Drosophila melanogaster: one gene and its partners. Changing the gene in region 1 together with any one later gene gives a genetic interaction. Each region holds a gene or a part of one and is shown in the gene's direction. Other genes may lie near its edges.

The links.
Region 2: of Utx (region 1) and TAF1B, changing one enhances a phenotype caused by changing the other (phenotypic enhancement), as found in Drosophila melanogaster (one study listed by BioGRID).
Region 3: of Utx (region 1) and E(z), changing one suppresses a phenotype caused by changing the other (phenotypic suppression), as found in Drosophila melanogaster (one study listed by BioGRID).

Annotation. Positions count from the first base shown.
Region 1 is NT_033779.5:10,271,951-10,281,950, reverse strand, and holds Utx (Utx histone demethylase), read left to right. Parts: upstream 1-3,139; 5' UTR 3,140-3,252; coding exon 3,253-3,302; intron 3,303-3,354; coding exon 3,355-3,701; intron 3,702-4,025; coding exon 4,026-4,137; intron 4,138-4,399; exon of another isoform or gene 4,400-4,556; intron 4,557-4,789; exon of another isoform or gene 4,790-5,139; intron 5,140-5,383; coding exon 5,384-5,559; intron 5,560-5,838; coding exon 5,839-5,967; intron 5,968-6,028; coding exon 6,029-6,254; intron 6,255-6,321; coding exon 6,322-6,502; intron 6,503-6,563; coding exon 6,564-6,824; intron 6,825-6,884; coding exon 6,885-7,017; intron 7,018-7,082; coding exon 7,083-7,786; intron 7,787-7,845; coding exon 7,846-7,985; intron 7,986-8,068; coding exon 8,069-8,488; intron 8,489-8,544; coding exon 8,545-8,754; intron 8,755-8,828; coding exon 8,829-8,955; intron 8,956-9,044; coding exon 9,045-9,239; 3' UTR 9,240-9,324; downstream 9,325-10,000. Other genes in the region: CG34043 (uncharacterized protein), read left to right, coding at 1,121-1,570, 1,631-1,898, 2,265-2,318, 2,381-2,431, 2,538-2,591, 2,693-2,832; trk (trunk), read left to right, coding at 9,742-10,000.
Region 2 is NT_033777.3:10,139,603-10,146,016, reverse strand, and holds TAF1B (TATA box-binding protein-associated factor RNA polymerase I subunit B), read left to right. Parts: upstream 1-1,832; 5' UTR 1,833-1,945; coding exon 1,946-2,373; intron 2,374-2,428; coding exon 2,429-2,549; exon of another isoform or gene 2,550-2,662; coding exon of another isoform or gene 2,663-2,787; intron 2,788-2,842; coding exon of another isoform or gene 2,843-2,930; exon of another isoform or gene 2,931-2,947; intron 2,948-3,082; coding exon 3,083-3,523; intron 3,524-3,618; coding exon 3,619-5,247; 3' UTR 5,248-5,914; downstream 5,915-6,414. Other genes in the region: invadolysin, read right to left, coding at 485-616; CG42759 (uncharacterized protein), read right to left, coding at 2,663-2,787, 2,843-2,930. UniProt on the Drosophila melanogaster protein: Component of RNA polymerase I core factor complex that acts as a GTF2B/TFIIB-like factor and plays a key role in multiple steps during transcription initiation such as pre-initiation complex (PIC) assembly and postpolymerase recruitment events in polymerase I (Pol I) transcription.
Region 3 is NT_037436.4:10,634,075-10,639,632, reverse strand, and holds E(z) (enhancer of zeste), read left to right. Parts: upstream 1-1,753; 5' UTR 1,754-1,871; coding exon 1,872-1,993; intron 1,994-2,055; coding exon 2,056-2,787; intron 2,788-2,848; coding exon 2,849-3,009; intron 3,010-3,192; coding exon 3,193-3,207; intron 3,208-3,539; coding exon 3,540-3,637; intron 3,638-3,695; coding exon 3,696-3,885; intron 3,886-3,947; coding exon 3,948-4,517; intron 4,518-4,585; coding exon 4,586-4,995; 3' UTR 4,996-5,058; downstream 5,059-5,558. Other genes in the region: Cnep1r2 (CTD nuclear envelope phosphatase 1 regulatory subunit 2), read right to left, coding at 264-418, 933-1,079, 1,139-1,210, 1,308-1,329; CG34001 (uncharacterized protein), read right to left, coding at 5,061-5,366, 5,435-5,558. UniProt on the Drosophila melanogaster protein: Polycomb group (PcG) protein. Catalytic subunit of the Esc/E(z) complex, which methylates 'Lys-9' and 'Lys-27' of histone H3, leading to transcriptional repression of the affected target gene.

The DNA of each region.
Region 1 (10,000 bases):
TGTTATTTAAACAGCACTGTTGCAAACAAATAGAAGGGATCGTGTAAATATTCTATTCCCCTGTTAATGAGAAATGTCGCCACAGTTGTAATTTGAGGATCAAATGAGTCTTTTATATACAAGTGTCTTAAAATATTGCAAAATCTAAGCTTGAAGATTTATAATAATTAAGTGCGACACTGAACTACTTTTTATTTAATTCTATTGTTGAGGTATTGTAATATCGAAGGAGAAAAACGTTTTTTAAAAAACCAGGTTACTTCAATTCTTGCTGATGCTGTTTCATAATAAAAATTAGCCACATTGACTGAGCTGATCAAGAACTACCTTGAACTCTGGAATCACTGGGTAGATCCCAGTCGGAACAGACAGCTCCTTTTACTAATTTGTTATCAAAAAATGTGCTACTTATTTATACATTTCTGTGGCAGTTCATTTGAAAACATAAATAATGTGCTTTCTGCTCTGTCGACTGCGTTTGCCTGTAAACAAATTGCAGTCTAAGCTTGCGTAAACAAGAAAATAAATATTACTGCTTATATTAATTGTTCTTATATCTTCCATTAAAACAAATAACAAAAAGAATCTAAAGCTAAGTAAATGAGTTCATTTTAAATCTTTTTAAATCGTTGCCAAGACACATAAAATATTTATTATTACCTTTTTTTCAGTTATTTTAAATTTTTTGCTAACAAATTGGTTCACCCTTTTAACGATTTTCCGTGCTTAGTGAGCTGCCCTCTTAAATTTTTCATTCATTTTATGAAGCCAGACAAACAACAGTGAAACAGTAAAAACATGCGATATAAGATACCAAAAATTTGGGAATCTTTGTACTAATTGTTATCACATAATGAGCGTAATGTTCAGACTACTTCCTCAGTTACACTTCATATCTTCATATATAAAAAAAAGTGTTATTTCGCACACCTGTTTATGCTCAATTATCGCAACTGAATTAAGACCCAAGAATGCGGGTTCCGCTGTACTTAAGCAAATTATATAAAAAGATAAGCTATATCTCTCGGCATCTGTGCATCTGAGGTTGCTTACTATCTTAAACGTGTAAGGAAACCGTGAAGACAGTCAAGATTCTCCCGCCTGCGTAGCCAAAGATACTATGATTTCGGTAGCTCTGATTATCTTGTGCTTTTTTCCGTTCGTGCAAAATGAGTACTTTCGTCCTTCGTACCAAGTCCTTGTGCGCAAAAGGAATACTCAAGGAGATTTGATCGACGGCCATTGCTATGGCAATATCATTCAGAGTCGCTTGGTTTTAACATCAGCATCGTGTTTATTGAGTGATAACGATTTCGTAAATGGTAGGGAATTGTTAAATGCTGATGAGTTGGCGGTATCATTCAAAGGCGAAGATTTGAACGAGTTGATATACCTCGTTGGTGGCATAGACGTATATCCGCAGTTCAATTTCTCATCGTTGGACAATGATATAGCGATCCTAAGTCTCAGTACGCAACTTCCGCTTTCCGAGCGAAACGATATTGAATGGGTTTTAGTCGCTGACTATGATATTACCGATTTTCCATTGGAGGAGGGTGTGGAATCTTACGTAAAAACATATCCTTTTATGTGAAAAACGATTTTATTAATATTAAAATTACTACCACAGGTTTGGAAAAATGCGGATGGAGAAAACATATATCCCGGTTATGGTGTTATTCATGAAAGTAATTTAGTTGGAATCATTTCCTATGGCTTGCCATTGAAAAATAAACGGGAATCTAATCTTGAAGTTCGGCGCCCAAATAGGTTTACGCAATTAAATCCATATTTAAGTTGGATATATACAATAATACAGAATACAGAGATTGCGGACATTCAAAATAACAACTACAGTGTATCTCTACCTTATCGTCAAAGAAAAATCGCAGAAATAGGTAATGTAAACCGAAAGTTATTTGCTATATTTATTTTGTTGTCAAAAGTAGTTTATCGTTTGCGGATTAAGAGAAACAAATAGTTTCGTAGAAACTTTCCTCTGCTTTCCCGAGAAAGATTAACTGCATTTTGATAAGAATATTTCTATGATAAAACTAAAAAGATCCACTTTTAGCCGGAATTTTAAGGTCTAAAATTTATAACGCTTTTCTTTTGGGAAGAAGGGTTATCTTAACACATTTATCAAAAATCAAATAAATATCAAAGGTACTTTACTAAAATTTTTATAAATCCATCAGGAATTTTATTTTTCATTGTTATCTAATTACATATAATTAATTAGTACATTTTTAAATATTTTTCAGTGGAGGAATTCGTTGAGCCTGATGCGGTGTATTTTCCAGACCCAGCAAACCCCAGTAAGTCTAATTTATTCAGTTTTATTTTCTAAAATAACTTTAATTTGAATATTTAATTTCAGTTAAAGATGAGATTGAAACTGAGGTAGAAGATTTGACGGACTCAGAAACTGGTAAGAAAATGAATACGGCTGTTCTACTTCGTAATTACTTTTACAAAATTTTTAAATTTTTTTGTTTTTCCTTTGCTATACTTATTTACCGAGTAATTGTTTTTAGATGCTGTAAACGTGGAAAGCGTCTCAGAAGATTTTTTAAACACGGAGGACCCTTGTAAGTTAATTCATTGTTCTATTGATATTTAAATATTACATTGATTGTTTGAATAATATAGTTTTAATTAAAAACTACCTAAAATTTTGTTTATCTTTCAGTTAATGAAAACATTGAAAGTGAGAAGGAATTCCTAAAAAACCGAGCAAACACATCTAAGGCCAAAGGAGTTTGTGCATGGATATTCACATTTAATTTTCTTCTAGCGATAACTCGCACAATAAATTTCCATTTTTTTTAACTAAATTTTCAATTTATTTTTTGATCTTCAATAAGATCAGTTTCCATAACTTAAATGTATATTTTATCTGAAAAGTATCAAAAGAACTGCATTAAGATTCAAATTTTTAAAACATAAATTGTAAACAGCATCTGTATTGATTTGGTGTATAATAAATTGTTATCAGCTAACGCGAAAATAAAAATTATTTGGTCACAGTTTCCCACAATTTTCCAATCGTTCCAGTTCCGTTATCGATTGCGCAGTGAGAAACTAACTTCAAAAAAGGCGTGACACGTCGACGATAGAAAAATGTATCATCTCTAAGAATATTTTAGTGTCATCTCTAAACTAAAAATATAAATAAAAAAATATTTTAAAAACTACGCTGTATTTTGCCCACGCTTCTAAAACCCAGTAGATTTAACAGTTGGTTTAAAAATGGGGCAACTAACTTTCGAAGATGATTGCCTGATCCGCGAACTGGATAGGTACGATTAATGCCACCCGCTCGAATCTTGTTTAATAATATTTACGTTTCAGTCGATACTACGGCTTTTTGGATTTGTCCAATTCGAAAAATGCGGAATTAAGGAATCTCGTTCAGCAGACCATCACAAACTTACAAAACTACATTGCAAATGGTCAGGTTCACGAATCAAAGAACAGCAGTGATAATAAAAATGCTATACAAAAGTTTGAGCCATCAACTCAAGCAGGTGAACATATGGAAAACACATCTTCCCGAAACAATGACGACACCAAACCTTTCGAGCAAGATGCCAAGGAAAAGGTGTCCATCATTGAAGAAAAACACCAGGATGAACACTACGTTAACGCTCTTTGCAAACTTGGCCACCTGCATCTTCTTCTTGGCGAATACTCCGAAGGTAAATACATAAATCCAGATGCACATGTCCAGATACAATCAGTGCACTCTGCAAATGACATCTATAGGATATATAGGATGCTTGTAGTCCTCACAAATTCATATATTGTGAATATCTGGTTCTTTTACCTTACATAATGTGTCAGGTGGAACAATTGTTTCCAAACTCGGGAACATAGTTGTAGAATGCCGCATTAATGACACACTTTAACATTAAATACTGCTAAACTGCAGAGTACGACGCATAAATAACATAACACTTCAATCCATCACGAGAGATCCTGAAAGAATTGAGTTGTTTTTTAATATCTTATTCTTTTTGTAGCTTTATCAGCGTACCAAAAGTATTTAAGATTCCGAGAAAACAATTACTGGACAAATCATGCATTTATCTATGGAATAGGCGTTGCTTATTTTAAACTTCGGTGCTTTAAATGGTAAGTTTACTTATCTTTTTAATATTTTAACTGCTTAAATATATTTGTTGTATTTAAGAAATATCTTTATGCTACGTTCAAAAACAATTAAGTTATATTTAATAATTAAAACCCATTACATGCGATTTTGATATGAATCGTTTAAACGTAGATGCATGTGCAGTGGAAGCACATTTATTTATCAATTGTAATCATCGATGGCTCTTATCGATGTATACGTTTCGCTTTCATATCGTTCCCATTTAATCACGATATCGCGCCTGTCACATCCCTATTGTATTGATATTAAATTGTTTACTAAATAGATTCTACACGAAACAACACTGCCACTAATATTATATATATATTTGTAAACAATTCACAACGAATTAAAATTAAGACTGCCGAGATTTTTTCGAATAAAAAAAGTGCGTTTACTGGTTAGTTTTGAATCTTTTCATAGTTGTCTGGGTTCTAAAGAAAAAAAAAACAAATGGATGCTGTAAACATTAACACTTACAATAATAATAATTAAACCGATGTAATATTGCCAAAAATTAAAATGAATATATGTGTTTTCATTGTATTCCTTTGTTTGTTTTTGCAAATTCGCTGTTATAAAAATACATAAATTCTCGTTACATGCATGCATGTATGTACACGGTGCGTGTGTGTGCGTGTGTCTGTGTACAAAATGCAATGAGTGCCCCCCTTTAAGGTCGTTAGTTGAATTGCGGGGTAAAATGTGTTCTTTGTTTAATTTTATTAATTTCGAAAGCTAACATTTAGGCAGACCGCGTCCGACGCAAATAATCAATGATTCTCAGTGCAATTCTATCTGATAAAAAGCCATGAAACGGTCTGTCTCGTTTTTTTGAGTGCACGCAGACATGTCTGCCGACACGACGGCTGCAAGTTCTATTGTTATTTATAAACAAAACCTGCATTTTGCAGGCATATTTTAGGAGATTAACATTTAAGTTTACTGTTGTGCACTTATCATCGGAGTTCTAGTTTAATTAAGTATGTTACTTGAATTTGTTTGTTCAAATGGTTATTTGTATGTATGTATGTACATACGCGTGCATGTGTGTACGTGACTGCATGCACATAAGTATGTATGCACTTATGTAAACACCGCTCACTGTAAACAATTACTATAAATTAAATATAAAACAAAATTTAATAAATTAAAATAATACATTCAAGTTATAACAAATAATTCAGAACAACGAATAAAAAAATTAATTTACTTACTTTTTTCCAGGGCCATCAAATCGTTTCAGGAGCTTTTATACCTAAGTCCCAATTTTACATGTGCAAATGAAGTTCATTTGCGTCTAGGTCTTATGCTAAAACACTGCGGGGAGTTCCATATTGCCCTAAAACATTTACAATTGGCGCTGCTTTATACATATCCTTCGACCTTTTCGGAACTTCAGGGTAAGATCTATTGAATAATTATAAACTTTTGCATATAAGTTTCATGTGTAATTAAAACTGTGATCTGAAAAGGTTTTTCTGTTCTTCAGTTATTTACTTATCATCTTAAAATGTTATCTTATTATTGATATATAAACAACTTATATGCAAAAAGTCCTCATACATTGAATTATCAAGTAATACGATGAAGGCAAACTTCTATGATTCATTCAGAATTTAAATATTTTGCAGTACGTTCACCCCGTGTCTTAAACTTTATTCATTATTAATACTTTGCAGTCAAATTTCAAATCGCGCATTTGTACGAAGTTCAAAACAAGCACAAGGCGGCAAAGGATGGCTACGAATTTCTTCTAAATGAGAAAAACATCTCCTTGGAGCTCAAAGCAGATGTTTATCGACAATTAGGTAAGTTAAAAAGTTATATTTTAAGCTGGTAGAGACATAACTTTTTATTGAATCCTTATAGGATGGATGTACCATTGCGTAGAATGCCTAGGCGAAAAAAAGGAACGTGAAGCAAACGCATTAAATTTTCTACAAAAATCAATCGAAGCTGACCCAAAGAGTGGACAATCATTATATTTACTAGGAAGGTGTTACGCCGGCATCAATAAGGTTCATGATGCTTTCCTAGCATATCGCAACTCGGTGGAAAAAAGTGAGGGGAATGCTGATACTTGGTGCTCAATCGGGTAAAATAACAATGAATGTGTTTAGCTTGGCCCCTATCTTATTTGTATTCTACACATGCACTTCTAGCGTCTTATATCAGCAACAAAATCAACCCACGGATGCCCTTCAAGCCTACATATGTGCTGTGCAACTGGATAAAGACCATAAAGCCGCGTGGACCAACCTGGGTATACTTTATGAGAGCTGTGGTCAATTACGAGATGCCTATGCTTGCTACTTAAATGCAACCAAACAAATATCATTCCAGGTAAATTTATATATGCAATTGTAGCCATTTCCAATACCTAACACACTTGTTTTGCTTGAAGAAGTCTTCGTTAATTCGAAAAAAACAAGCAATACGTATGAAAAAGGACACAATTGGACTGTCGAAAGGCCTGTCTCAGAGAATCACTTTCCTGGAGGGCCAGCTCAGTCAAGCACCATTGCCAAGTATTACATCCAAGCGCCGCCAGCTGTGTTCAATCGAAGAAGCTTGGAACCTGCCAATATCATTAGAAATGAACTCTCGCCAACAACAAACAGCGCAGATGCTACCAAGACAGGTCACAAAGCAAAGTCCAGTACAGGTGAATTCCTTAATCCTAAACCAATCAGTGGGCAATCAACTAAATCATGTTTTTAAACAGGGACCGCCACCACCTTATCCGCATAGCCAACTCAGCCAAAGTCCCATACCTTCGAAACGTATTAAGGAAGATGGCACAAGCCAACAAGAAGTAACACAAAACAACAGTCAGACATCAGCGCAAAATCTAATAAGTAAGTGACCAATTTAAATAGTATATATCTTAAAGTATTAAATCACTTTTTAACACTCCAAACAGACATTTCGGAATCTTTAAACCAGCGCAACTTCAACGCCATGCCGGAGAGCAACAAAAGTTCGGAGCAAAGTGTTCTTGACACCTTCGACGACATCTCGAATGATATTTATAAACAGAATGAGAGCATCAAGCTCGAACGTTTGAGCCAGGATGCACTGAGTAACAATGAGGACTCGAGGCATGATTTTATTGGCGGTGACAACGCCGACATCTCGACCACGTTCAAAATACAAATGGACTCGAAGCAGTTGATGGTAGCTGTGAAGCTGCTGCCGATTGATGAACCGCCCGTGCACTGTACCATTTTGCAAGTGAATGCGCCGCCGCCATCTCCGCCCGATTGCCCACCGCAGAAACTGACGCGAGATCAACTCCTGCCTCCCACACCCTCTGTTCATTTAGAAAATAAGAAGCACGCGTTCAGCCCACAGTTGCAGGAGTTTTGCCTGAAACATCCGATTGCCGTTGTACGCGGCTTAGCGGGCGTCTTGAAGCTAGATCTCGGTCTCTTTTCGACCAAAACGTTGGTGGAAGCCAACCCGGACCATAGTGTTGAGGTTCGGACACAAGTGCACCAGTCTCCCGATGAAAATTGGGACACTTCGCAGGGTAAGCGCGTCTGGGCCTGCATTTCCCATCGGTCTCACACAACCATAGCCAAATATGCCCAATATCAGGCATCCAGTTTTCAAGACAGCTTGAAGGTAATGTTCGTTGGGTTGGTTCCTCTTTAACATGAATACAAGTTTACTTTATCGTGTAGCTTATTTTACCGCAGGATGAAAGCGATAAAGGTTTCCCCGGCTCGCAAGCAATGTCGGATTCAGACTCAAAGGACTCGGTATCCAATTCGAACATTGTTCTCAAACGTAAAAAACACAAAATAAACAGCAAAATGTTGAGGTAATAGAAACTCCAAACCATTTATGTCTGCATTACGAACTTTATGAACATAAATTAAATGCTTATTTCGCTTTTTTTTTTAGGTTCGGGACCAACGTGGACCTCTCCGATGAAAAGAAATGGAAACCACAATTAACAGAGCTACAAAAACTGCCAGCTTTTGCGCGAGTTATATCCGCTGCCAATATGCTATCACACGTGGGCCACGTCATTTTGGGCATGAACACCGTTCAGCTGTACATGAAGGTGCCCGGAAGTAGGACGCCTGGCCACCAAGAGAACAACAACTTCTGCTCAATCAACATCAACATCGGTCCTGGCGACTGTGAATGGTTTGCCGTCCCTGACGCCTACTGGGGCGGAGTTCACAATCTTTGCGAGAAGAACAACATTAGCTATCTGCACGGCTCGTGGTGGCCCGTCCTGGAGGATTTATACAAGGAGAATATACCAGTTTATAGATTTATACAAAAGCCCGGTGACTTGGTTTGGGTGAATGCCGGGTAAGCACTGAATATGAAAGGAAGGATGATGTATTAACAATCAAACCTACTTTCAGATGCGTCCATTGGGTTCAGTCGATCGGTTGGTGCAACAACATTGCGTGGAATGTTGGACCCTTGACTGCCCGTCAGTATTCTCTTGCCATCGAGCGATATGAGTGGAATAAAGTGCAGGCCTTCAAGAGCATTGTGCCGATGGTGCATTTAAGCTGGAATCTTGCAAGGAATATTAAAGTGTCTGATACCAAACTTTTCGAGCTGATAAAGTGAGTTAGCAAATGATAGGAATCACCATTATGCAGATACTATAGGGCATACATATGTAATTTGTAATTTTCAGAATGTGTTTGCTGCAAACGTTGAAAAACGTATTGCACATACAAGAGTATGTCAAATCGAAAGGTGTGGAAATACGTTTCAATGGACGCGGAAAGAACGAAGCATCCCATTACTGCGGACAATGCGAGGTATTTAGCGTAGTATTATTAACATATTTATACAGTTTCCAAAGGTGATATGAATGCAGTTTATTTAATCATTTGTGCACTCTTTGCAGGTTGAGGTTTTCAATGTGCTGTTCATCAAGGAGCAGGAGAAACGACATGTGGTCCACTGCCTATCGTGCGCGCTGAAGCTATCTCCGTCGCTCCAGGGAATCGTTTGCCTGGAGGAGTATCGTCTGTCTGAGCTGCAGCGCGTGTACGATTCGTTTACTTTACACAGAACCCAAGGACTAGCATACACTCAGTAGTTGTAATACGAGGAATCATTTTAAGTAATGCAGATTTAATATATGTATATTTTACAACGTACAATATACTCTCTATTGTTTTGATAAAACATAACGGTACGAATATATAGAGATGGGATTTTTCGAATAAAGCCATCAGAGCAGTTTTTTCGGCTATTATGTTTGATAGTCGAAAAAACTGGAGCCCACTTGAGTAGCGAAACTTACCTTATGATGACAATTTTATTATGACTTCAAATATTTAGACCCATCTTTTATAGTTTAATTTAAAAAAAAAAACTTTAAATTTATCCAAAGTTTAGAATGCGTTTTAATTATATATATGAATAAATTTAATTTATAATCTTTCGCAATGACACTGAAATTAAAATCCTTCTTTTTATTGAATTGGCTGTTATTACTTTAGTACCTAAATAAGTTACAGTGTAGAGAGCAACGATAACTGCTGTAAACACGATAAATCAATTGGTTGATATTGGTGTAGCCCTGTTTTTAGCCAGCCATGTTTCTGCGTATACTGTGTCCAACTATGAAATCCCAAAGTGAACTGGCCATTGTGCTCACTTGGTTGGCAGTGCTGGGGACGGCTCAAGATGATGCCGATTACTGCGCCGAGCTATCCACGCAGTCGCTGGCCAAAATTCTGGGACAGGCATTTAATCCGCGCTACATGAGCATCGATCCGCCGGGCGAGCCCGAGGAGAAGAGCTATCATCTGGGATACAAGCGATCGTCGTACGAGCTGCCCTTCTATGCGGACA
Region 2 (6,414 bases), on another chromosome or scaffold:
TATAAATTTTCGACGAGCACAGTTTGCACCAATTATGAAATTTCTCTAATGAGCACGAAGGACAATCTGCCCAAATGGCCGAAGCAGAAACAAACAAGAAACTCGAGCATTGAAATTTCCGAAGTTGCGATTTTCCAGCTGATTTAAACTTTAAGGACTCTTTCTTTTGAAATTACCAAACCATCTTCATACCTTATACTATCTTGTAATCTAGCTATCTAGCATGAAAAATCTTAGCTAGTTGCAAGACTAAAAAAAAAAAGACTAATATTAATGTAGTTGGGATTGTAAATATTTGGCACACGTGTGCGGGTGAGCACTTAAAGATTCCGTGTTCCCAAAATAGCCCTTTCCCGGATATTATTTGTTTTATTTGCAAGAAAGGGCGGAGTAAGAGAAGAAGGCCAATTCAACCCAATACCATAGAGTCCAATCCAATTCAATCCAATCCCTTCATTTTTGGAGCCAAACGAACGCAACTCACCTCGTGGGCCTTTGGATGCTGGTGTTGGCAGTTGTGAGCGGTGGCCGAAACGAGGAGCCAAGAGCAGATGCCGAGGGCTGCCAGGAATTTGGCCATGTTACCGTGGGGGCGGAGCGGGGGCGTTTTGGCCATGGTGTTTTACTTCGGGGTGGAATATCGCCGTGGATATTATAGAGTACTCAGCATTGTAGCGGTGATCCTTTTCATTGTCAGGATTAGTGTGATTTTTGTTTAATTATCACTTGACTTCGAACACCCATATCTGCACTTAAAATTCTTTGTTTATTTTCCTCTTTGGTTTGCTTATGTTTGCTGCTTTTCCGCCGTTTGCTTTGTCAATTAACTCGCGAAAACCGGCTCGATTCGAATCCCTTTCCTCTCACTCGCACACATAAACAACTCGCACACACACGTACATACGCACACACAGAGACACTCAATTATTGGGGCCTTTGGACTACTTTTTGTTTTTGTTTTCGGGTGGGTGTGTCCCAATCTCAGCCCACGCCAAAAAAATGTGCATAAAACTACAGCAAACTACAAACTGCAGTTAGCCGCAAAAGGAGGAACAAACTCGCACTTAAATGTCAAATTCTCATGAACTGTCCGTGCAGCGAGAGCATTCTGTAGGACTCACTGCCATACCCGACACAGTGGGCACTCAATAAGCGCATTCGTCGAGCCTTTTCATTCAGCAAAACCATAAAAACACTCGCGCGAAAAGGGGGCGTTTGGGTACCGGCGGGGGTGGTTGGCACGAACAACAAACTTAGAGAGACGCGAGTCGAATCGTCCGACAACGACGTTAACGTTCGCCAGCCGATTTTGTTTTGAATCGAGTCTCTATACATATGCATAAGTACATGGACACAAGGACAGAGTGGCCATTCAACGAAAACGAAAAACGCGTTCTTATGCTTTTCCGAATCTGGTAACACCTCTTATTAGCGCTAAAAAATTACGTTGCCTATCGATATTTCGAATCGACTTTTTTAAAAATCAAGCGTCAAGACATGGATAATTCAATTCTTACTGCTTATGGTCACACCAAAAAGATAACAGAAATGTTACGAGAGATTAGAGTTCAGTGATGGCTAACGTACAAGTGCATCTAACAGGTTGGCATAAAAAACAATAAAAAATACCCTTTACGCTTATTAGATTTTAATATATACTTTCAAAAAAAAACCGCTCTCTAAATTTTATATAAAAATAAAATTTTATTAAAATACCATGACTAAAAATATGTTACTTTGAACCAACTTTTATTTGCCGCCTTAATCTAGTGATGTACGTTTTCATAGAAGAAACGGACGATATATCGAATCAATCGAAGAACGGATGATATCGTTGTAAACATAGATCATTCCCCACCACTATCACATGCACGATTTGTGTACAACCGCGAGTTTGATTAATAATATAATTTAAATCTGATACCGTCAAGAGAAAGTCCCAAAAATGGAGGAAGTTCTCGAGACGATGCAGCTGGAGAACATGCACTGCGATGTGTGCGAGGGTACCACCTTCCAGGAGCGCGAGGGATTCTACTACTGCGTAGAGTGTGGCACACAGAAGGATCAGATTCGTGCAGTGGACATTACCGCCGAGGATAACTTTGATGACACGGCAGCAGGCCGATATACAGCCAGGACGATCCGACAGAAGAAGGATACGGAGAAGGAGGATGAGGACGATATCACCTCGTGGGAATTCTACAACTACGTGCTGCGCGGCTTCCTCCAGGAGCTGCTCAACATGGGCGCCAAGCCGGAGCTCAAACTGATGACCCTGCAAGTGTGGGCGGCTTACTTGGACAGCATGGAGGTGGCCTTCAGCAAGAGCAACAAGACGGGACTGCCTAAACTGAATGTGCGGGCGCTGCCCATGTGGGTTCTTGCATTCTCCTAAAATTTCTTATTTTTAAATTCCGAATTCTTTCAGAGATGCCCGCATCATCTACAACCATAAGACATTCAAGAAAGGCAAAAAGGGCAAGAAGAGCACTCTAACGGGTGACCCAAATGACGAGCGCGCCAAGTTCAGATTGTGGAACAGAACTAAGGTAGTTTATTAGCCGCTGGTAGTCGGTATAAAGGGCAAGAAGAGCACTCTAACGGGTGACCCAAATGACGAGCGCGCCAAGTTCAGATTGTGGAACAGAACTAAGGTAGTTTATTAGCCGCTGGTAGTCGGTATATAGAATTGGTTAGGAAACAGCAGGGGCAGCAGCAGGAAAAGGGTCCGTTGGTAGTCATTATACATGGGTTTTGCTGTATTTATCTCCTGTACTGGATTAGAATCTGTGGCGAATATGTTGGATGAACAATAAGCGTTAGGATTAGTTTATCTAATTACTTTCAGTGACTTCTGGAGCTCCGGGAACAGGTTGTCCGTAGGCCAATGCCAGGATGGCCACGCCAATTAGAACCAGACGCATGGACATATTTGCAACGACACACTTTACCAAATTGCTGCTGACTTGAACACGTTCGTCTTTTATAGCTCCACAAGCTATATAAATGACATAGTTAGCCTATTCATTAGTGATGTTTACTCAGATGCGACTGTAACACCTTGATCCCATTCCTTTTGCAGCGCAATCTAGACGCCTCCGGCTACCGCTCGCACGGAGGAGCTTCAGAGTCCGAAGGGGAGCAGAGTCTCCACCTGCAATGGTCAATGCGTGCACGCAAGTCCTTGAAGCGCCATATGCCGCTGAAGCACCTGGACAAGCATAGCCGCGACAGCAAGGGTAGTATGTCGTGCCACAGCTTGAGACCGAGGGTCAAGCAGCTCCACAATTTTGATCGTAACATCTACTGCCTGAATATTATCAAGTTGTATGTGGTGCTGGGCATAGCCCTTAATATGGTGGAGGATGATATACAGCTATCGGACTTGCTGCGCTTCATTGATGAGGAGCACTTGACCAAGCGGTGCATGCTTAACTATCTGCCCGGAAATGTGGCGGCCAAGGGCAAGGCACTGCTCAAAGATATGGAGCTCAGCAAAATGAAAGACAAGGTTACCAACAAGGTGACTATAATCCATCATTTTCTAACGATAGAAAAATAGAAATATCTATTAATAAAAAGGAACACAACTAATAATTATCTTTATATTCTCCACAGCTTCTGCGTGTAAACATCGCGTGTATGTCACGATTCATAAACTTGTCTGAATATCAAAAACCGAACCTGCACTCCCTAGCGGAGCGATATATTCTGGAGTTGGCACTGCCACCTCGGCTACTGAAGTACGTGAATAGCCTGCTTGACCTGCATCCGCCCACTTTTTTTAACGCCATGACCGTACATCCGTATCCGCGCTATGAGGCCAGGACTATGGCCTACATCCTCTACGCCATGAAGTTGCTCTTCGGCTTGGACGATCTCAAGGAGCGGAATATATCTGAATCGGCCGCTAAAATCAATGAAAAACTGCTGGAAGTCGGCGGAGATGAGGCTCCCTTGCTTTTTGTTTTTACCGAGTGGATGGAGTTTGTGGAGATGAGGAAAGTGATTGTCTCACATTACAACCAAAGTTTTGCCCGTCGCTTCGGGGTATCCACCCGGACTGGTTGTCAGGTGGACGACATACTGGCAAAGGAGTGGAAAGAGAAGGAGCAAGGCGAAACCTTTGGCTGGATGCAGGGATCTGCGGCAATGAAGCGTCAGCATGAAAACCTGACACACATTATTGAAACCATGCTGAAGGACCATTTTGGCGAGTCCAGCAAAGAAAGTATGGAGAAGGAACACATTGAATTCCAGCCCAGCTTGACTCCGGCTCACTCCTACTTCAACAGAATCCTACTCCAAGTATCGCGGTCTGATGGTGCAAAAATGAAAATCACAATTCCTGACCACATGAAAGTGGATCACTCGGCCCGCAACCTGGATCCCTTTGTGCTGGAAACGACCGAGCTGTCGCAGTATTTGTCCCAACATGGCCTTAAACTACGAGTAGAGGAGCTTGCCTGCCAGGAGGACATCCAAAACGTGGGCATATTCCGCCCACTAACAATAATCCGAGGTGACGGTCGAGAATACCGCGCCAACACTGAAATTAAAACCGAGACGTGGATAAGCGAGCTAAAGCGTAAGGAGAAACGGCCGGACTTTCGGTTCACACAGCCCACTGGAACCTATGGAGCCCGATATTTGAAACGTATAACAATGCGCGACGCAAGGCGTGTGCAACTTGAGATAAATAATCCGTTTTGGGATGTTACCGAAACGCCCAGCTTTCTTCTCAAACTCAACGATAACGAGATACCACTTGACAGCCTTAGCTCACTGCAAACCTTCGAGGAAGGGACCATGGATCCATTAAACATCCCTCTAGATCTGCCCCGTCGCAATCTGGAAAAAATTTTGAATCCGGAAGGTTCTGATAGAGCATCAGACCAAGTAGCGAGCGATATCAATGATGAGCCGCCAAGCCCTGAGACGCTGTTATTGCAAGTGTCAAATTTTGATTGCTGGCTTCTACACGGCTATATGAAAAGAATTCGGAGGCATGACAAGCATGAACTGCGTCAGTTGTTCCCCTGTTCCTTCCGTTGGCTCTTGGAGACGTGTGCCAGCACAATAGGCATAGTCTGGGAGGAGCTCTACGAGGAACTGCTCATTGTGGAAGTGATGTACCATCACAGCATCAGGGACTGGAGCAATCATAGGAACTATCTGTGTATTCAACACAATACTCAAGAGAAGGACATCCGAACCCTCGCCAGGACGTACAAGGAGTTATGGTAGTATATTAGAAGTATTAAAAGTTTTGAATTAACAAACAACGATGCCATCTGTATAAAATATAATATTCTTCTACGTAGTGCTCTACCTCAAATGATAGATTTTCTTTTTGTGTATATAACCTGTAGAAATCTTTCAACAGTGATTATGATGCAAATAAATCTGTGTGTTAAGCAGTTACCAAAGTACAAACATGACACACCCACTACGTCAATAGCTTAAGTTCAGGAATTTATGATTTACACACTTATCGAAAGTGATCAATTCATTTAACAAAAATATTCGTTGTCTACCCATACGTTTTCCTATGCCCAAATGTTAAATTTGCATCCATTTTAGATTGAAACGATCTATGTATTAAGGGGCAGTGTTATCTCCTTGGCCGCGACTGTGTGAGCAAAGGCACATTAACATCAATATCAATAGGCAAATTAGCGTTTATCAGAACAACAACAATCACATTAGCAGCAACAATGCGTGTCGCGGTTTTGTTTACAAAAATCTTCTTCAAAAGAGAGCGCCAGGCCCCACGGTCATCACCAACTGGAGAGAGCAAAAAAAGAGCGTGAGAGTACTTGGGGAAACAGAGGAGCTCACTTGGCTTGTTTTTGAACAGTTCTACTTATAAAGTAATTATACCAAATAAACAACAAAATAAAATAAATAAACCAAAAAAAATCACTTACATATATAACAATTTAAAGGGTGTTCAATTGTGATAGTTTATATTTGCTTTAAGTTTAACGTTGTCAACGCTCTCATAGGAGCGATTTCCTTTTAATGTCTTACTAGCTTTGTTTCATATAAAGCAGTTATCTCTGATGATCCTACTTCAAAAATCCGGCGAAAGAGGTGATAAGAATTATCTTATGCTTTTTTTCGATATTCTTGTGATCTTACCTATATTTATAGCTATATCTAGCTAGAAAAGAGGCCACCTCCGCTTGGGAGCAGTGAGAGTGGGTAAAGAAATCATAGGCGCGCATTCGCACGGCGCGTTTCAGTGCTAATTTTAACGTCGTCGCTGACTGTTTCGCCTTATTGCCCTGCTGCGGTTTGAGTTTCCCTATTTTCCACTTTTCCACTGGCCGCGAGCACTGAGTTCGAATTCAATTTAAATTAGTTCCCATTGTGCCTTTGTACGCCTCTTTGCCCGTCCAGCGCAGTGTG
Region 3 (5,558 bases), on another chromosome or scaffold:
TATTGAAATGTCGCTTGGTGTATTTGGCAGCGATGGGTAACGCCATTAACGAAACACATAAAGCTTAACAATTGATTTCTTTTCTTTTTGTTTTTTTGTACAAAGGAGCTTCTATAATTAAACAAAATGTGTAGGGGAGAAATAAGAGGTACTTTAAAAATACGCTTACAAAGCGAGGGTGTCCGAATCAACATGTAGGAAAAAAGAAAAGGGTAAGGGAACTAGCAATTAACTAAATAAACGTCCTGGAAGCTGGCCGGTGCTCATGTACTGTTGTTGTTACTTTGCCGCGGCTTGAGTATCAGCTTCCCCGTGTCGTCACAGCTCATATTAAAGTCTCCCAGTACCATTCGCGTTCTCGATGTAATTATTTGCGGAGCTATGACTAGTTTCTGTATGCCCAGGATGAACAGGACGACTGCGGAGAGAAATGATAAGGTTTACAAAATCAGTAAGTCAGTTTCAAACCAAAAAAATTAGATTAGATTAAATGGAAGTGTTTGTTAGCTGAAAATTCTTAATCAGTTGGACTATCAATATTGATATATACAAATCGAATTTGATAAAGCGAAGAGCTTTGACAAGATTAAAGGCAACCTAATGTTGCTAAAATTTGGAGAATGTACTTATGTAGTTTGCATAGATGTGATAGATATAAGGAGTGTATTCTACTCAAAATAACAGTAGAAATACCTAAAAATTTGAAATTCTTGATTTTGATCCTTTCTTTTTACCGAGTAGCCTGAGATAACCTGATATATAGTATCGACTTGCTCTACGATATGATTATATGGATTTAAATAGCATGGTATGGCTTGGTATTAAAATTATTCTCCATACTAGGTAGAATATCCGAGGTTCAATGACCGCCGCTGTTGACTACAAAAAGTGACCTATGTACGGAGTACAGTAGTGGCTACACCGATTCTTACCCAATGTTAGGGTGGCGACTGTGAAGACGGGATGAATCCAGAGGGACTCCGTTAGCGGTACAACGGTGGTGCGCGGATCGCGTAGCCAGTACCAGGCGCTGATGGCGGTGCACATGGACATGGCGGAAAGGACAACTGCAAGAAGCTCTATGGTTATTACGGATTGTAATGCTCCCTGGTGTTCTCATTATACGGATGCAACTTACTGCGCCAGCGGAACGTCGAGGGACGGTACGATGAAACCACTTCGGTGAGGCGCCGCTCGAAGGCCTTGAGATCTGCAGAGGAGCGAGGAAAACAAACCCAGTTATGGTTGGTAAACATAGTCAGTGGCTTGCGCGTTTTCCGGCTCTCTTTTGCCGGCGAGTTACATACCTTCGCAGGCTGACGGTTCCATTGCAGCTATTTCCTCAAAGCTCGTGGCCGTCTTAATGCGATTAAATTTGTCCAGTTTAAATATTATTGTATTTATTATTATTATTTGATGAGGTTCTCATAGCTTTCTTTTCCTCTTTTTATGTTTTTGATGACATTCCACGTTTGAGAGCACTGATAACGGGCTGCGTTTCTCAACACTACACAAAGCAGGGTCGTACCAAAGAGGGGCTCTTTGTTTATTTCCTACTTTCAGTACAAAATGGTTGTATAGCTAATTTAAAGTGAGTATTATATTTATGTATTATTTATATTATATTTATATTATTTTAATACAAAAATATCATAGTTTTTATTATAATATAAATATAATTAATGGCTTACCGGACAAATTAAGTACCCACTAAATGGTCTTCTACATACACCCATGTGTCTAAGTTATTCTTCCTGCAGTACAACGGTCACACTGCGGCAGCTGTTGCAAAAAAAGGCGGATAATATTTGTAGCAAAATCAGTGTTTTTTATACGTAAAATCAACAAATATAAAGTCCCTCGAAGGCATTATGAATAGCACTAAAGTGCCGCCCGAGTGGAAGAGGCGTGTCAAGTCGGAGTACATCAAAATCAGGCAGCAGAAGCGCTACAAACGTGCCGACGAGATCAAGGAGGCGTGGATAAGAAACTGGTAAGCGCGGGAGAGATGGTGGATGTCTGGGAATCGAAAATCTATGTACACATATCCTCCAGGGACGAGCACAACCACAATGTACAGGATCTGTACTGCGAGTCGAAGGTTTGGCAGGCTAAACCCTACGATCCGCCGCATGTGGACTGTGTGAAGCGGGCGGAGGTGACTAGCTACAATGGCATTCCCAGCGGTCCGCAAAAGGTGCCCATTTGCGTGATCAACGCGGTCACTCCCATACCCACCATGTACACGTGGGCACCAACACAGCAGAACTTCATGGTGGAGGATGAGACGGTGCTGCACAATATACCCTATATGGGCGACGAGGTCCTCGATAAGGATGGCAAGTTCATAGAGGAACTGATCAAAAACTACGATGGCAAGGTTCACGGCGACAAGGATCCCTCGTTCATGGACGATGCCATCTTCGTAGAACTGGTGCACGCCCTTATGCGCTCCTACAGCAAGGAACTGGAGGAAGCCGCTCCGGGTACAGCGACTGCCATTAAAACAGAGACGTTGGCGAAATCAAAACAGGGCGAAGATGATGGGGTAGTTGATGTTGACGCAGATGGTGAATCTCCCATGAAGCTTGAGAAAACCGACAGCAAAGGGGATCTGACTGAAGTTGAGAAGAAGGAAACTGAAGAACCGCTGGAGACTGAAGATGCGGATGTTAAGCCCGATGTGGAAGAAGTCAAGGACAAGCTGCCCTTCCCTGCGCCCATTATTTTTCAGGCCATCAGCGCTAACTTTCCAGACAAGGGCACCGCGCAAGAGCTCAAAGAAAAGTATGTAATTTGATAACCAGGTTAGTAAATATCCCTTCTTACGGCTTTTTCTTTTTGCTAGGTACATTGAGCTTACGGAGCACCAGGATCCGGAGCGCCCACAGGAGTGCACACCCAACATTGACGGCATCAAGGCCGAGAGCGTTTCCCGGGAAAGGACTATGCACTCCTTTCACACGCTCTTCTGTCGTCGTTGCTTCAAATACGACTGCTTCCTGCACCGTAAGTTAAACGATGGGAACTGCTGCCAGCTGGGTTACCTAATGACTTTACGTTTTGTTTTTGCTTTTCTTTTCTTGTTTGGAAACAATATTATCTTACCAAAAAACACAAATCTGTACCATTTCTTAAACCCCCAAAAAAAAAAACGAAATTCCAAAATGTATTGAATTAATTGCAATTTAGGTCACCATGTGCAGGGTGAGTCGTTGTTGTAGTTGTTGTTTCGATAACCACACGCACACACTCTCATGCCGTTTGCCCGTCAACGCCTCCGCATCCTCATCTCGCTGTCTATGAATATAATTTTTATAATAACCCATATCGGTGGATAATTTGGCTATGTTTGTCATGTGTCTAAATTGACCCCTCGGTGTTGCTCACCTCATTTTCGTGTGGCTTTGGCTGGACCATTTCTCTCTATCTCTTCAAATGTAACCGATTACCCTCATGCTAATCCAAAAGCGTTTCATAGACATCAAGTGATTTTCGCCCGATTGAGTTATTCTAATCCCGCTGCTCTGTGTTCACAGGCTTGCAAGGACATGCGGGTCCCAATCTCCAGAAGCGTCGCTATCCGGAACTGAAGCCTTTCGCCGAACCTTGCAGCAACTCCTGCTACATGTTGATCGTAAGTTGGATGCACTTTATAAATTTAAATGGTATTTTAATTCTGTTATATGCTGCAGGATGGCATGAAGGAAAAGCTGGCGGCCGATAGCAAGACACCTCCCATTGATTCCTGCAATGAGGCCAGCTCCGAGGACAGTAATGACAGCAACAGTCAGTTTAGCAACAAGGACTTTAATCATGAGAATAGCAAGGATAATGGCCTGACTGTAAATAGCGCCGCTGTGGCTGAGATCAACTCCATTATGGGTCAGTTTTAAGTTAGCAGATTGGTTGGACCATGTGTTAAATATTTCACTTTTTCTCACCAGCTGGCATGATGAACATCACCAGTACGCAGTGCGTTTGGACAGGCGCTGACCAAGCACTTTATCGGGTCTTGCATAAAGTGTATTTAAAGAACTACTGCGCGATTGCGCACAACATGCTGACCAAGACCTGTCGTCAGGTGTACGAGTTTGCCCAGAAGGAGGATGCTGAGTTTAGCTTCGAGGATTTGCGACAGGACTTCACACCTCCGCGCAAGAAGAAGAAGAAGCAACGTCTGTGGTCGCTGCACTGTCGTAAGATTCAGCTAAAGAAGGACTCATCCTCGAATCACGTGTACAACTACACGCCCTGCGACCATCCCGGACATCCATGCGACATGAACTGCTCCTGCATTCAGACACAAAACTTCTGCGAAAAGTTCTGCAACTGCAGCAGCGATTGCCAGAATCGTTTCCCCGGCTGTCGCTGCAAGGCTCAGTGCAATACGAAGCAGTGTCCTTGCTATCTGGCAGTGCGCGAGTGTGATCCCGATCTGTGCCAGGCCTGCGGAGCGGATCAGTTTAAGCTGACCAAGATCACGTGCAAGAACGTGTGCGTGCAGCGAGGACTGCGTAAGAAACCTTCTTATATATCCATATTGGTCTTCGCCACTGTCAACTAATTTAATCTTCAATTGCAGACAAGCACCTGCTCATGGCTCCGTCTGACATCGCCGGCTGGGGCATCTTTCTTAAGGAGGGTGCGCAAAAGAATGAGTTCATTTCGGAATATTGTGGCGAGATCATATCCCAAGATGAAGCCGATCGCCGTGGCAAGGTTTACGACAAGTACATGTGCTCATTTCTTTTCAATCTGAACAACGATTTTGTTGTGGATGCCACTCGGAAGGGCAACAAGATTCGGTTTGCCAATCATTCCATTAATCCCAATTGCTATGCCAAGGTTATGATGGTCACCGGCGATCATCGCATCGGCATCTTTGCCAAGCGGGCCATTCAGCCCGGCGAAGAGCTATTCTTTGACTACAGATACGGACCCACGGAGCAGCTGAAGTTCGTGGGCATAGAGCGTGAAATGGAAATTGTTTGATAACGAGTCTACTTATGAAAATCGTATCATACAAATTGAATAAAACTATATTTTTGAAAACACACCTAAACGGATTTAGCTACATTGGCTATAATTGGTTTGGGTCGCGATTTGAAGATTAATTTTTTGGTGCAAACGGCGCGCACAGTGTACTCCGTTCTTTGGCGACTCTTGTGCTCCTGGGCGATCGTATGATCCAGCACTGTGCGCTCCGCTCCCGTGGTGGCGTTCAGCATACTGACATCCTGCGAGGCCATGCTCGTTTCTAGGAGTCGTTCTCCCTCATTGGTCTTGGACTTTTCCAGCACCGCAAATGGTTTATCCAACTTTTGTTCACGTCCCTGAAGAATGTGATGTCCAATGATGAGAATCTTATGATATAAGTAAAATCAGATTGTTTAAGAGCTGGTTAAATTATAACTTTACAATTACAACTCACAGGTTGGCCATATTTATTGTAGTAGAGATCGCCAATAAACTGGCCGTGCATATCCTGGTTGCTCCGCACCTCCAGGTCGCCTTGCAGCTCTATAATGGCCCAATCGCCTTTGCCAGCGTTTTGT